Tribolium castaneum: one gene and its partners. The protein of the gene in region 3 interacts with the protein of the main gene of each other region in a pairwise test. Links are inferred from orthologs where the notes say so. Each region holds a gene or a part of one and is shown on either strand. Other genes may lie near its edges.

What was found.
Region 1: the proteins of Mer (region 3) and sav interact in a two-hybrid assay, tested with the Drosophila melanogaster proteins (2 studies listed by BioGRID). The link is inferred for Tribolium castaneum from reciprocal best matches to the Drosophila melanogaster genes Mer and sav.
Region 2: the proteins of Mer (region 3) and wts interact in binary tests that used the Drosophila melanogaster proteins (3 or more experiments, as listed by UniProt). The link is inferred for Tribolium castaneum from reciprocal best matches to the Drosophila melanogaster genes Mer and wts.

The regions. Positions count from the first base shown.
Region 1 is NC_087396.1:21,519,465-21,523,126, reverse strand, and holds sav (protein salvador homolog 1), read right to left. Parts: upstream 2,402-3,662; 5' UTR 2,357-2,401; coding exon 2,266-2,356; intron 2,214-2,265; coding exon 1,894-2,213; intron 1,842-1,893; coding exon 1,601-1,841; intron 1,457-1,600; coding exon 1,276-1,456; intron 1,228-1,275; coding exon 1,046-1,227; intron 978-1,045; coding exon 778-977; 3' UTR 736-777; coding exon of another isoform or gene 611-735; 3' UTR 574-610; downstream 1-573. Other genes in the region: uncharacterized protein LOC659596, read left to right, coding at 343-559, 611-735; solute carrier family 25 member 45, read left to right, coding at 2,454-2,502, 3,379-3,662. UniProt on the Drosophila melanogaster protein: Plays a key role in the Hippo/SWH (Sav/Wts/Hpo) signaling pathway, a signaling pathway that plays a pivotal role in organ size control and tumor suppression by restricting proliferation and promoting apoptosis.
Region 2 is NC_087397.1:10,568,329-10,572,684, forward strand, and holds the start of wts (serine/threonine-protein kinase Warts), read right to left. Parts: upstream 2,842-4,356; 5' UTR 2,530-2,841; intron 402-2,529; 5' UTR 244-401; coding exon 1-243. Other genes in the region: protein NDUFAF4 homolog, read left to right, coding at 3,544-3,688, 3,737-3,825, 3,874-4,096, 4,144-4,301. UniProt on the Drosophila melanogaster protein: Negative regulator of Yorkie (Yki) in the Hippo/SWH (Sav/Wts/Hpo) signaling pathway that plays a pivotal role in organ size control and tumor suppression by restricting proliferation and promoting apoptosis.
Region 3 is NC_087401.1:7,792,651-7,796,834, forward strand, and holds the start of Mer (merlin), read left to right. Parts: upstream 1-1,334; 5' UTR 1,335-1,454; coding exon 1,455-1,553; intron 1,554-1,604; coding exon 1,605-1,734; intron 1,735-1,781; coding exon 1,782-1,993; intron 1,994-2,038; coding exon 2,039-2,476; intron 2,477-2,523; coding exon 2,524-2,760; intron 2,761-4,184. UniProt on the Drosophila melanogaster protein: Regulator of the Hippo/SWH (Sav/Wts/Hpo) signaling pathway, a signaling pathway that plays a pivotal role in organ size control and tumor suppression by restricting proliferation and promoting apoptosis.

The DNA of each region.
Region 1 (3,662 bases), on a different chromosome or scaffold from region 3:
ATGAAACTGGGCCGCAAACTCCACCCGTTCTACTCACATTTGGGTCCGTTGCGCCGAAATTACTTATTCATAGTATTTTAATTGACTGTGACACGAAAATTTCACTTCGAATTTTGATACTTTTTAAAGGGACGCCATTTTGTTTATTTTTTCAAATCGCGGCCGGTAAAGTAGGGCCCGAAACTGCCATCTAACCTCTAATTTTATGGCAAAAACCCGGGATTATCACTAGAACGAACCGCTGGAATCGCCCAAAAAAACACTAAACGCGTCAAGAGTTCGCCCCAAACCACTCCACGACGTGTTATTTCTCGCCGATTTTGCGTGTTACATAACCCCAAAATGTCGCTCTTCAACCCCCGTTGGTTGCGTAATTTTATCAGAAGACACACGAATCAGATCCCTGAGCAGCGGGCCCACGTGTGGAAACAGCGCCTTTCCATATTCTACATGTTAACCGCGTGGAACGCCTTCGGCTTCGTCCTTTACCAGGTGTACCAAGGCAATGCAGACTGGGCCCGCAAGTACAAATCGGAGGAAGAATTGTCCCTATCCCCAGGTAAAATGAGACACTTGTTAATAAAAATAAAGCGTTTATTCGTGTCTTTAGCACAACAATGGGCTCGAACTTTAGGCATTAAGGACGCAAAAGTGATACAAGTCTCAGGCCTGCAAGTCACTAACTATGACATCCATAACGAGTTTGATGAAGCGTCTGAAGCGATACAAGAATAAATAATCACATTTCTTAGTTAATAAAATACAAAAAGGAACATTTTATTGACCAGTCACAGCCCCATTTCTACTATTCCTAAACTTCTCCATTTCGACAAGCAATGCGGACCTGTAGGTCTCGTACCGCATCACAATGTTCTGCAGTTCCTGCTTATAAAGCCGCGTCAGCATGCCGTTGTAACAGTCCAGGTCTTGCAACCGGAACATGTCCCACTTTAATTTGTGGTCCAGATCCGGACTCGCTAAAATAAACACCAAAAAAATCGGTTACACTCACAATTAACACAGCAAAAATTAATTGTGGTTTTACCATTGAAATAGACGTTAAGCCAATGGGGAATCTCCTCTAACAAGTAGGGATTTGCCGGCACCAGGACGCTGTGAGGCTGATAATGTGTCGTTCTTGGGGGGTTGAAATACCGCACCTCGGGCTGATAATTATAGCAAGGCACTAGACAAGGGTGCTCGTATTGAGCTTGTTTCGTAATGTGACTACAATTAAATTATTTGGATTTGAGTCTAACTGGGGGAAAAACCCACTTGACGTAATAAATGCCGTAAATGGGGGAATGGACACATTGCCATCCTGTGGGAAGCCCCTCGCGCTCCAGGGGGTGCGACCAATGGGTGGTTTTGGTATTGTGGTCGATGTAGTACTTACGACCACGGAGGGTGTAGTCCACGGACCAGCCGGGCGGAAGCGGAAGCTCTTCAGACTGATCTAAAAACAAGCGCCTAACTATGCAAATAATTGATTGTTAAAAATCAAACAAATTTTTAAAAATAATCAAAGCAAGAACGTCTAAGTGCCGTAATAATGATTAATTGACACAACGAGCTAGGCAACCAGTTGTACACCCAATACCTGTACTGCTTTCATTGCGCCCCAGCGAGTGTCTCAAATGGTGGGCGAGCGATTCACCATAAGTCATCCCTTGCAGAGGATTAGAGTAGCGCTCGGCCCCCGTATTGCTATAAATGGGGGTCGTGTCTTGACTCTTATGGGCCCCATCAGTGTTCTGATAAATCGGCGAACTTCTGCTATTATAATTATTATCCTGCGTAGTGAGTGGATAAATTTGATCAATTTCGACGTAATTGGCGTTCTGGAAGCGACAAATTCAATTAAAAAACCCACTTCAAGGGGGCTTGAACCACCGAATTGTCACTGTATGACGAACTGATGTGTTGGTTCATGTAAATGTGTTGTGGGGCCACTGATGAGCTTGGCGTGTAAAGGGAATTGTTTTCGTTTGTGGACAGATTGGCAAACCTGGTGGCCAAATCCGGGACTGAGGAGCTGGGTGTGTACTTCCCCTGGTGCGCCCCCAGGCCAGAGCTGATGATGGTTTTTTGGTTCCCGAATTTCTGGACGGTGATGCTGCTCTGGTTGGCCCCCCGTGTGAGGCTGGCGGGGAGCGACTGACGGCCCTGGTTCGAGAGGCGTCTTTTTGGTTCGGTTGTCCAAACGTTAATGACTGCGAAAAATTTGATGTGAGGTTAGGTCCAACTTGTCAAAAAATCGCTCACTTGGCATTTCGGGCGGGGTGTCTTTTTTCACGTATTTGCCGACCACCCCTTCCTTGATCGTTTTCAAATCTTTGTTTTTGCGCGATAGCATGGTCAGCAGGTGTGCAAATTGCGGGCTATTTTCGGCTGAAAATTGAGGGCCAGTCGATGAGGGTTTGCGACGGCGGCTGGCGGAGGCGTCTCAAGCGATGGATGGGACGTTCAAGTTCGCCGATTTCATTGCAGGATGGTTCGGAGGTACTCTATGTCTTGTCATGGGGAAAAACACTTGTAAACACTGCATTTTGGTCACAACAGAAATTCCATTGTTTACAAATTCACATCACCAGATTAGGGGCATGCGCGATGGACGTTTTAGCGACATTCCAGCGTGTATTCATTGTTGTCTACGGTTAGGGGGCCACGCGTGGCTGGGGCCCTCTTTTAGGCTGGTTTTTGTAAATGACGATTACAAAACATGCAAACTTTGGTCATTATCTCGAAAACTAGCAGTGATAAATGAAAACTGATTACATATTTGGAATCCTTAGACAAATCAAATTCCGGTCAAGTCGTTGATTTTTCCGACTACGAAAAATTATCCTAACTATAAATTACATGTCATAATTTTTTTAAGCACAGACTAACTAGTGTAGGAAATAATTTTTCATTGCATCTGAGAAAATTTCGGAAATAAACATTCACCCTGTATACGGAAAAGGTAAAAATATGTTCTCTAACGAACGCTAGTTGAAGCTAACTAGGCTAACTTTTCACACAAAACCCCAAAAAATTATAATAAAATTTCGAAATGTTGGGTCGCTTCCAAGAGGTCGGGTATTTACCCGGCGCCTCCACCATTATGTCATGAAGAATTCGTTAACTGTGAATTTGTACCATTTCGGAACTGATTAAGTTCATGAAAATTGGTACAGGCACGTAATTTCAACTGCTTTTTAAGAAATCGGGCCTCAAAAATACGAGGGGGCTCTTAATTGAATTATATTTTTTTAAATATTACGTTTATTCTGAGATGGAAATTGCATTTAAACAACTACTGAAATGTTATAGAATCAACATTACAACTGTGCCACTGTGTGGGTCATTCTGGAAATAAAAAATCCCGAATTTCAGGCATCTGTGGGGTGGTGGTGGGCCACCCCCTCGACACGATCAAAGTGCGCCAACAGAACTTCGGCACGAAGCTGTTCGTTGCCATTTCGCGCACATTCCGGCACGAGGGAATCCCCGGCTTCTTCAAAGGAATGCTATGTCCTGTACTTACCATCGGCCCCTCGAACGCCATTCTTTTCGGCGTTTACGGCAACTTAATGAACGTCTTCAACGAAAACTACGTACCTCGCCAAGTCTCGCACACCGACTTCGATGCCCTAAGACACGTTTTCATCGCCGGGACA
Region 2 (4,356 bases), on a different chromosome or scaffold from region 3:
GAGCTGGAGGACGTCCTTGTCGGTGCCGTTAGTGCCGGACGTCGAGCTCAGCGAGCTCACTCCGCTTGTGGCGGAGAAATTCGAAATGGTGCTGGCCGCACTGGAGCCCACGGCCTCGCCGCCGCTCTTTGCGAACGGGCGCAGCGAGTTCTGGATCTCCTCCATGGCCTTTTGGTGGTAGCCCGGCGAGCGGGCTGGCGCGCTGGGATTCATGTTCAGTTGGGGCCGAGGCTGTTGGCCCATGCTGGGCCCTGCCACTCACTAGCGATTCACATGGCTCCCCGCACATGAGTATGCACTACAATTACGCCCATTCATACATTTTGCATTACATTGGAAGACGAGTTTTGACGCACTCCTGACGATTCTTGCAGTGGATTCGATCGTTCGCGACTTCACGACTGCAATCAAAAACAAAATATTCAAAAATAAAAACACTAGCAGTCAAGGAGTAGGCATTTGCCCCCGCTGTAACAAGTTACCCCCTTATAAAAATAATAAAAAAAAATTTAAGGGCCGGTTTACAGAAAGCTACGTTAAAATTTAATTAGTTGGTAAAAGTTAACAACGCGAATGGACCAACCAAATTGCGTCAATTTGGTCACGTGATCAGTTAATCACGCATTTAATTGGAAATTAAATTAATGACTTAATGAATTTCTTTTTTTTTTTCAAACTATCCAGTCAAGTTTATAAGGTGTTTAATAAAACAACAATGAACCCTCAATGAACCAGAAAACTATGTTTATTTCTTTATGTGAAAAAAATACATAGAATAAAATTACAACTTTTTTAAAATAATTTTTTATGCAAGTTAACCCTCAACTTTAAACTGATTTTTCTTAAAATAGAGATTTCAGCGTTGTATCCCTAGACACCTTCCAATTCAAGGAGAATTCTGCAAAAATCTCCAACTCCGAAAATAAGAGTATGAGTTGATTTCTAGTGCGATGTGAAACGTCGCTCTGCACATTGCAAAATATAAAATGTTGTTAAATTTGGTAGCTTTCTGCATAATTTCGCCTAATTTAAATTTAAAAAATAACAACAGGTAACCGCACGATTAAGCTTTGCAAAACTTCAATGAAGAATGGAAATATTCATGAACGCATAAATCATGCTTCACTGCTTTGTTAATGTGCCGTGGATCCTCGAAGATGCACGTGAAAATGACGTTTTCGTTTTTACAGGGAAGTGCGAACACAGACATTGTCGCTTTATTTCAATCTAAAAAAATACGGTTACGTTTTTATCAATAATTTGACACGAATTTTATCAAATCGTCGAGTGAAAATTTAATACGTCCATAACGAGCTCTCATACTGTGACCTGTTTTGATAATTCCAAATTACTCAAGAGGAATAGATGCTTGAAATTCCAACGAATTTCTAAAGCGCTGTGATATTTGGAGTTACTCATTTAATGCAACCGGTACATTTTATAAATCATTTTGAGACACGATAAAGATTTACAAGATCTGCACTAACGGAAAGCAAAAAACAGATAAATTAATCAACATTTTTCTTGATCCTTGGACTTCTTAAATAATCCATTTTGCCGTGGAAAAATTTCGGCTTCGAATCGGATGTGTGCGGTTTTATTATTGCAGCCGTAAAACTTCAAGTTATGACAAAAGTTTAGTGGAATTTTTTGATAAACGAGATTCTTCCTTTGTGGTAAAACTTTTGATCTCAAATAAAATTATATTAACACTGACACTGTATATAAATATTTTTAGAAAACTATTTAAAAAACGCATAAACCACAAAATATGCAGTCGCCAGTCGGTATTTAATAATAATAATGAATTCATTCAGCTCTCACAAATCGTGATTTTACACTCTGCTAGATTTTAACCATTGATGTCAATTTCTTGTTAATTCATTACGTAATGAGCACCAATAACGAGCGGTAAAAAAGGTCGCTTACCAATAAGCGTGCACAATTGCAATTTTTTATGCACCCGTGAAAATCACTTTCAAATAATTATTACTGAAAAAATGTTCTAAATGTGACCTCAATTACATTTGCATTTGGATTGTTTTTATTTTAATAAACACCAAAATCGCTCCTAGTTGCTAAATGAAGAAGTCTCCGAGGAATAATTGGAGTGGTTGTGTCTTTGTATGGCATGTTTTAATTGATTAATTTACATTCTTATGGTCCAGTTTGGTGATTTGCTTTCATAAAAAGCTGCAACTATGACAATTAGCTGCGGAGATTAGGAAGAGAAGCGAATTTTGTGCGTTAGTTGAGACAAATCAGGGGGCGTTTGGTGTGGATTAAAGCGTAGGCTAAAATGGGAATAAATCGGTGTAAAGATTAGGCATAGCATCTGTCATAGTGTATGGGATACAGTGCTTCAGGCGCTAGTAGAGCTATGTGCCAAATTACAATCAAATGTCTCACTCGCACGGCATTCCAGTCATACATTCTTTGGCATTGTGCGTGACATCTAATCTGTTACTGTCTAACACCAATTCATCTCATCAAGGATAAATTTATTTAAACAACCTAGCCAACAATTACCTTTTATTCTTCTAAAACAAATGGAATCTGCTGCAAGAACTGACAGATTTTGAAGTGTCAATTGTCAATCTATCTCATTCTATGTGGAGGAATTTATGAACACTTAACACATTATTTCCATCATAGGGCTTCTACACTACGCTACGTCGCACGCACCACACAATAAACTTTTAATTACATTCAACTGTACGGTTATTTAAAGCTAAATCACTTTTTAAGGCACTTAAATCTGTAATGAAAACAAAGACAATTTACCAAGATTCAGATACCAGCCATCTTACACAGTGTCAAATTCCAGAATCTGCCAACCTTAGAAAACTATTTATTTAGAACTAAATGCCATTGCTTTAGCTCACGAATCGTGTCTGCACCCAGACAATTACTTGGAAATTATAAAACATCCCATTTTTTCCAGCTGAGTATTTATTAATGCCTTGTTTCGTCCATTTTTAGTTGAAAATAATGTGACGCCTAGTTCCCTCCGTTTTCTCAATTTGGCAGCTATGCGCGCTGCTTGCGACAATGGAGATAGCGTTTGTTCCATAAGCGTATCAAAGGTGTTCAAATTAGAAATTATTATTTCTTTTGTGAGCTTTTTTTTAGATCTAATATAAATGATTTGAAAAGTAAAATGCTAACTTAAATTGTGCTAAAGTTACATAATTTAAACATCTGCCCAGATGCAAAATAAACATGCATGGTATTTGATAGTTTCAGTCTCTACGCCCCTGATTTAAAATATTTACAGATTTAAAAATCAAAAAAAAGGTCATAATAGGCGTTTTATCTTTGTCTTTCTCCGTCAATCTGTCTTTGTTTCAGCAATGTGACCGAGTATGTGTGGAATAGAAAAATAAAAATTATGATATAACACAATTTTTATGAAATAAACAAGTATCCTTAAATAATTAAAACTGGATACGTGAGGTCCTTCTTCAATTTTCGTCAACTGTCACATCAAGAAGTTTTAGAATTGAGGTTACACCTAACCTCAACTCAATTTTTAAGCCGAAAATGGGAAAAGTCATGTCTTTAATGGGTCGTCCTTTTCGGACTTTTAACATCGAGAGTAGAGCACACAAAATTATATCCAAAGATAAGCCAACTCCAGCTCCCAAACACAAAAGTGATCAACTAGATTATGAAAGATTAATGAGAGGTGAGTTTGTTTATTCGAAAGGGCTTGAGTAATGTAATATTCTTGAAGAGTATCCTGAAGAATTTAGGGAAGGCCAGAAAAAACACCAACAGTTGGATAACTACTTAAAAGATGTTTATGTGACCTCACATGACCCTGTAAGTAAATTAAAAAAAAAAACGTCAAATTTGCAAATATTTTTTTAGAATCCGGTGCAAGAACAGAAAATAAACCCCAACAGACCTCTTCCTCTTAACAGGCAACAAGTTGAGGATTTTGAATATGGGGTTAAAGAACCTGAAAAAATTCCAGAAGGGAGGGCCTCACTAAAACAAGTCCTTAAGTTTGTGACAGACCACCAACACGATCGTAGACTACATAGTGTTGAAGCTATTTCTAAGGAGTATAAATTACCCGAAGAAATAACAAGTAATTTTCCATTGTTTTAAGCCAATATAGCCAATGATCTGTTGCAGAAAATGTTTTAAAATATTATAAAGTTTTTGAAGTCTATATTCCTGAACAAAGAAGAGTTAAAGCCAAGTTTGCTGGGCCTAGTGTACCCAGAATTAGAGTCATGCCAAAACTTAGAAAACAACTGTTACCTGGGAAAGAAGACAAGGGGGATACCTGACAATGTAACTGAAATTTAGTTCAATTTAAATAGTTTATTTATAGCAAAAAAAAAT
Region 3 (4,184 bases):
TATTAGAACTACCATTACTTCTAATGTGGGTTTAGACGCCACACCCTGTCTGTTAAACTAAACTAAAAATTCACAATATTTGATCGAAAATAAATTTATTTTACCACTTCCGCGTCTATAAGGCCAATTATTTCGTGAAAAGTCGTCAAATAAAACCAAAAAATTGCCCAAATTAATCGGAAATGGTGTTATTGTTGTATTATGCATGTTTGTAAACTAAAAATCAATTAATTTTTAAAAATTATCCAAAAAACGCTGAATTTTTGAGCATTTTTTCAAGATAAAAACTCGGATTTTCTCGAGATTATACGTTGTTCAAAAAGAAACCCAACTGTTTTGAGAAATTTCTTCAAAAATTAATTTAAAAATGAACACAAGTATCACATATTTTGAGCGTTTAAGCACGTTTATGACTTAAAAACTCGGCCGTTCGCATGATATTATTACACTTTGTTTAAACAAAAATCCAGTAGTTTTGAGAAATTTCCTCAAAAATTAAAAAAATTAACACAAATAGCGCATTTTTCGAGCGCATAAGCACGTGTTTGGGCAAAAAATTCGGCCTTTCGCATGTATTACACGTTATTCAAACAAATACCAAATTGTTTTAAGAAATTTTTTCAAAAATATACGGAAAAATTAAAAAAATGAACACAATGATCGCATTTTTAAAGTGTTTAAGCATGTTTTTGAGCTAAACGATTGGGTTTTCACATGATATTACACGTTTTCAAACAAAAACCCAATGGTTTTGAGAAATTTCCTCAAAAATAAATCGAAAAATTAACACAAATATTATAATTTGTCACATTTTTTGAGAGTTTAAGCAAGTTTTGAGATAAAACGCGTTTTTTTTTTCGATATTAGCGTAAATCGAGTTAAACATGTTCTGAATTTGATCGAAAATGAGTTAATTTTTCCACTTTTTCACCCAGAAATGCAATTATTTCGTGAACCATGAAATCACCGAACTGAATCGAAAAAAGCTATACTTTTATTTCAAACACGTTTTTGAGCTAAATACTCAATGAAACCGAACAAAAATTAAGCCTCATAGTCAAAAATAAAATTATCAAGACCTATTCCTGATTAAATTTTTATTAAAAAGCAAGAAAAGCAATTTTTGGTTTTACAATTTATTCAAAAGACAAGAAGCTTATCGGAGATCTGTTTTACCGGCCAAATTTTCCTCTAGACTTTTGTGATTAAACTAAAATAAAACCGACAGGAGCATTATATAACATTTAGCGTTACAAACATTAAGATATAGATTGAAACCGCCCACTTGAGCCCTTTCCTGGGGCCCCATCGCCCGAAAGTCCTAGTAATTTCCCGCCATTGTGTTGGTATTCCGAATTGACATCTGTCAATGCCATAACCGAGATGTTTGTGCCTTATTTGTTGTTGTTATTTTACGGTTGAATAATGCGATAGGTTTTACAAAAGCGAGGATTATGTTAGAAAAAATGTCTCCATTTCGCAAAAAGAAATCCGAGAAGAGTTTCCCCGTGAAAGTGTGCACATTGGACGCCGAATTGGAGTTCAACTTACAAGTATGTTTACCGTCTCAATTCTCCAAACTGTGAATAATTTTCGCATTGTAGTGGCGAGCCACCGGCAGGGATTTATTCGAGCTAGTGTGCCGCACAATCGGGTTACGCGAGACTTGGTATTTCGGTTTGCAATACGAAGATTCAAAAGGGTTTATCAATTGGTTAAAATTGGACAAGAAAGGTGGGTCTGGTGCTGAGAGGGCCCCCAAAATCATGTGTGTGTTTCAGTCCAAGACCAGAGCATCCAGAAGGACCCCCACAGTACGGTGTCGTTCATGTTTTTCGCGAAATTCTACCCCGAAGAAGTGGCCGAAGAGCTGGTTCAAGAGGTAACAAAACACTATTTTTTTCTCCAAGTTAAGCAAGCTATTCTCTCTATGGATGTGTACTGCCCCCCTGAGGCGTCCGTCCTGCTAGCCAGTTACGCGGTCCAAGCCAAGGTAAATAGTTTGAGGTTAATGTTCCCCCTGTCTAACAGCCCCCAGTTTGGAGACTTTGACCTAGATACGTACAAACCGGGAATGTTAGCGAACGAGGATTTGTTGCCCCAAAGAGTCATCGACCAGTATCAGATGACTCTAGACATGTGGGAGGAGCGGATAAGAGTGTGGTACTCAGATCACAGGGGTATGTCGCGAGACGAAGCCGAGATGGAGTATTTAAAAATCGCACAAGACTTGGACATGTACGGTGTTAATTATTTTCCGATAATGAATAAAAAAGAGACTGAGTTGTGGTTAGGTGTAACACCTCTAGGATTAAACATCTACGAAAAGGAAAATAAACTACAACCAAAAACGACGTTCACATGGGCCGAAATACGACACATTAGTTTTGACGATAAAAAATTTATTATCAAACCGGTCGATAAGAATTCCCCAAATTTTGTCTTCTTTAGCCAAAAAGTTAGAATGAATAAATTGGTAAGTGGGTGTGGTCTGAGGGGGCGTGGTTAAAACAAATGTTTCAGATTCTTGATTTGTGCATGGGTAACCATGATTTATTCATGCGGAGGCGTAAACCCGATTCTATGGAACTCCAACAAATGAAAGCCGCCGCCAAAGAAGAGAAACAACGTCGGCAGATTGAACGAAATCGTCTGGCACGTGAAAAACAATTGAGAGAGGAGGCGGAGCGTGAAAGGGCCAATATGGAACAGCGCCTGCTCCAGTACCAGGAGGAAATCCGATTGGCTAATGAAGCTCTGGTAAGTTTTGATTGGCCGAAAGCCCCTCTTACAGAGTTGGGCATAAACAGATTATAATGTAGTTAAATCAATAATCTAATTACAACGTAATCGCATTACTTTTTTTCATTTACATTGTAATTAATTATGTTTTATTAGCTGTAATAAGTTAATTGATTAAATTGAACAGTAGATGATTGTTTTGAAAAATCATTCTTTAAGGAGGTTTTGTGCTTTATAAGAATTCCACCCCCAAGGGGGTTAAATTTTGTATAAAAATCTGTATTTTTTTTAAGTTATACCCATGAAAATCGTTATTTGAGTTTTCGGTTAAAAATGAAAATGGTGTTTCATTGTTTTTTCAAGTTCTACTTACAAAAATTACGGATTTTTATAGGAAACCCCCTTGCGAATGGATTTTCTACTTGTTTTTTTGCAAGATTTAAAGCTGAAAAATCATTAATTTAGATAGAAAATTACTATCTTTTTGCCTCTTTCAAACGTTTATCTGAATTTTTAATTGAAAAACCCAGTTTTTTTCGCAATATTAATAAAACAGCTCAAATTTGATCGAAAATGATTTTGTTGTTTTATAATAATAATTCTAATAAGTTATTTTAGGGCCTTTAAAAATACCTTTACATAAAAATGTATAAAACAGAAAAAACAAAGAGCAGTAAATTATGTCGAAATCTGTATTAATTTTTGTTTTTTTAACGTTTTGGAAGAACGTTTTTGATTTTGCTAAATCGACTCAAAAAGTGGGCTGTTTCGATCGATTTAGTTCGTTTTTAAACGGTTTTTAAACAATGTCGAATTAAATATAAACTTCAGATTAAAATCAAAAAACATATTTCCAACTTCGAATTAACTTGACTCTGAGGATTTTGACTTTAAATTTAACTGAAATAACGAGTCTTAGGGATGGAATTTCCAAAAATCCTAAAACATTTGTTTTTGATCTTTAACCAAAAGCTTAAATACCAATTTTCATGGATATAACATAAAAAAAACATACTGATGTCGCACTTACTCCAAATCTGTGCATGCGTCTTATAAAACTCGTAATATACTATTCTATTTGTAATCTTTTAATAAAAAATTTGCAAATTTATTTAAAATTTGGAAAAAGATAACATACTGAAACGTGAACCCAACAAAAGTTAGAGCCCAACTATTTTCGTTGTGCCAGAAACGGACAAACTAATTATTAAACACTGACCGAAAATGGAGGAAAACATTAAAAATTATAAAGAAGAATTTTGCAAAATGTTATATAGAAAAGTTGTATTTCATGAGTTTTATTACGTGTTAAAACTAAAACAGGTATTTCTAATACACTCTGTATAATATTAAGAACTGTCCTGTTATGTGAATTAACTTGGAAGGAGTTCATTGGAGTGACAATCTTAAGTGTCCGTATTGAAGATTCTCCATAATAAAAC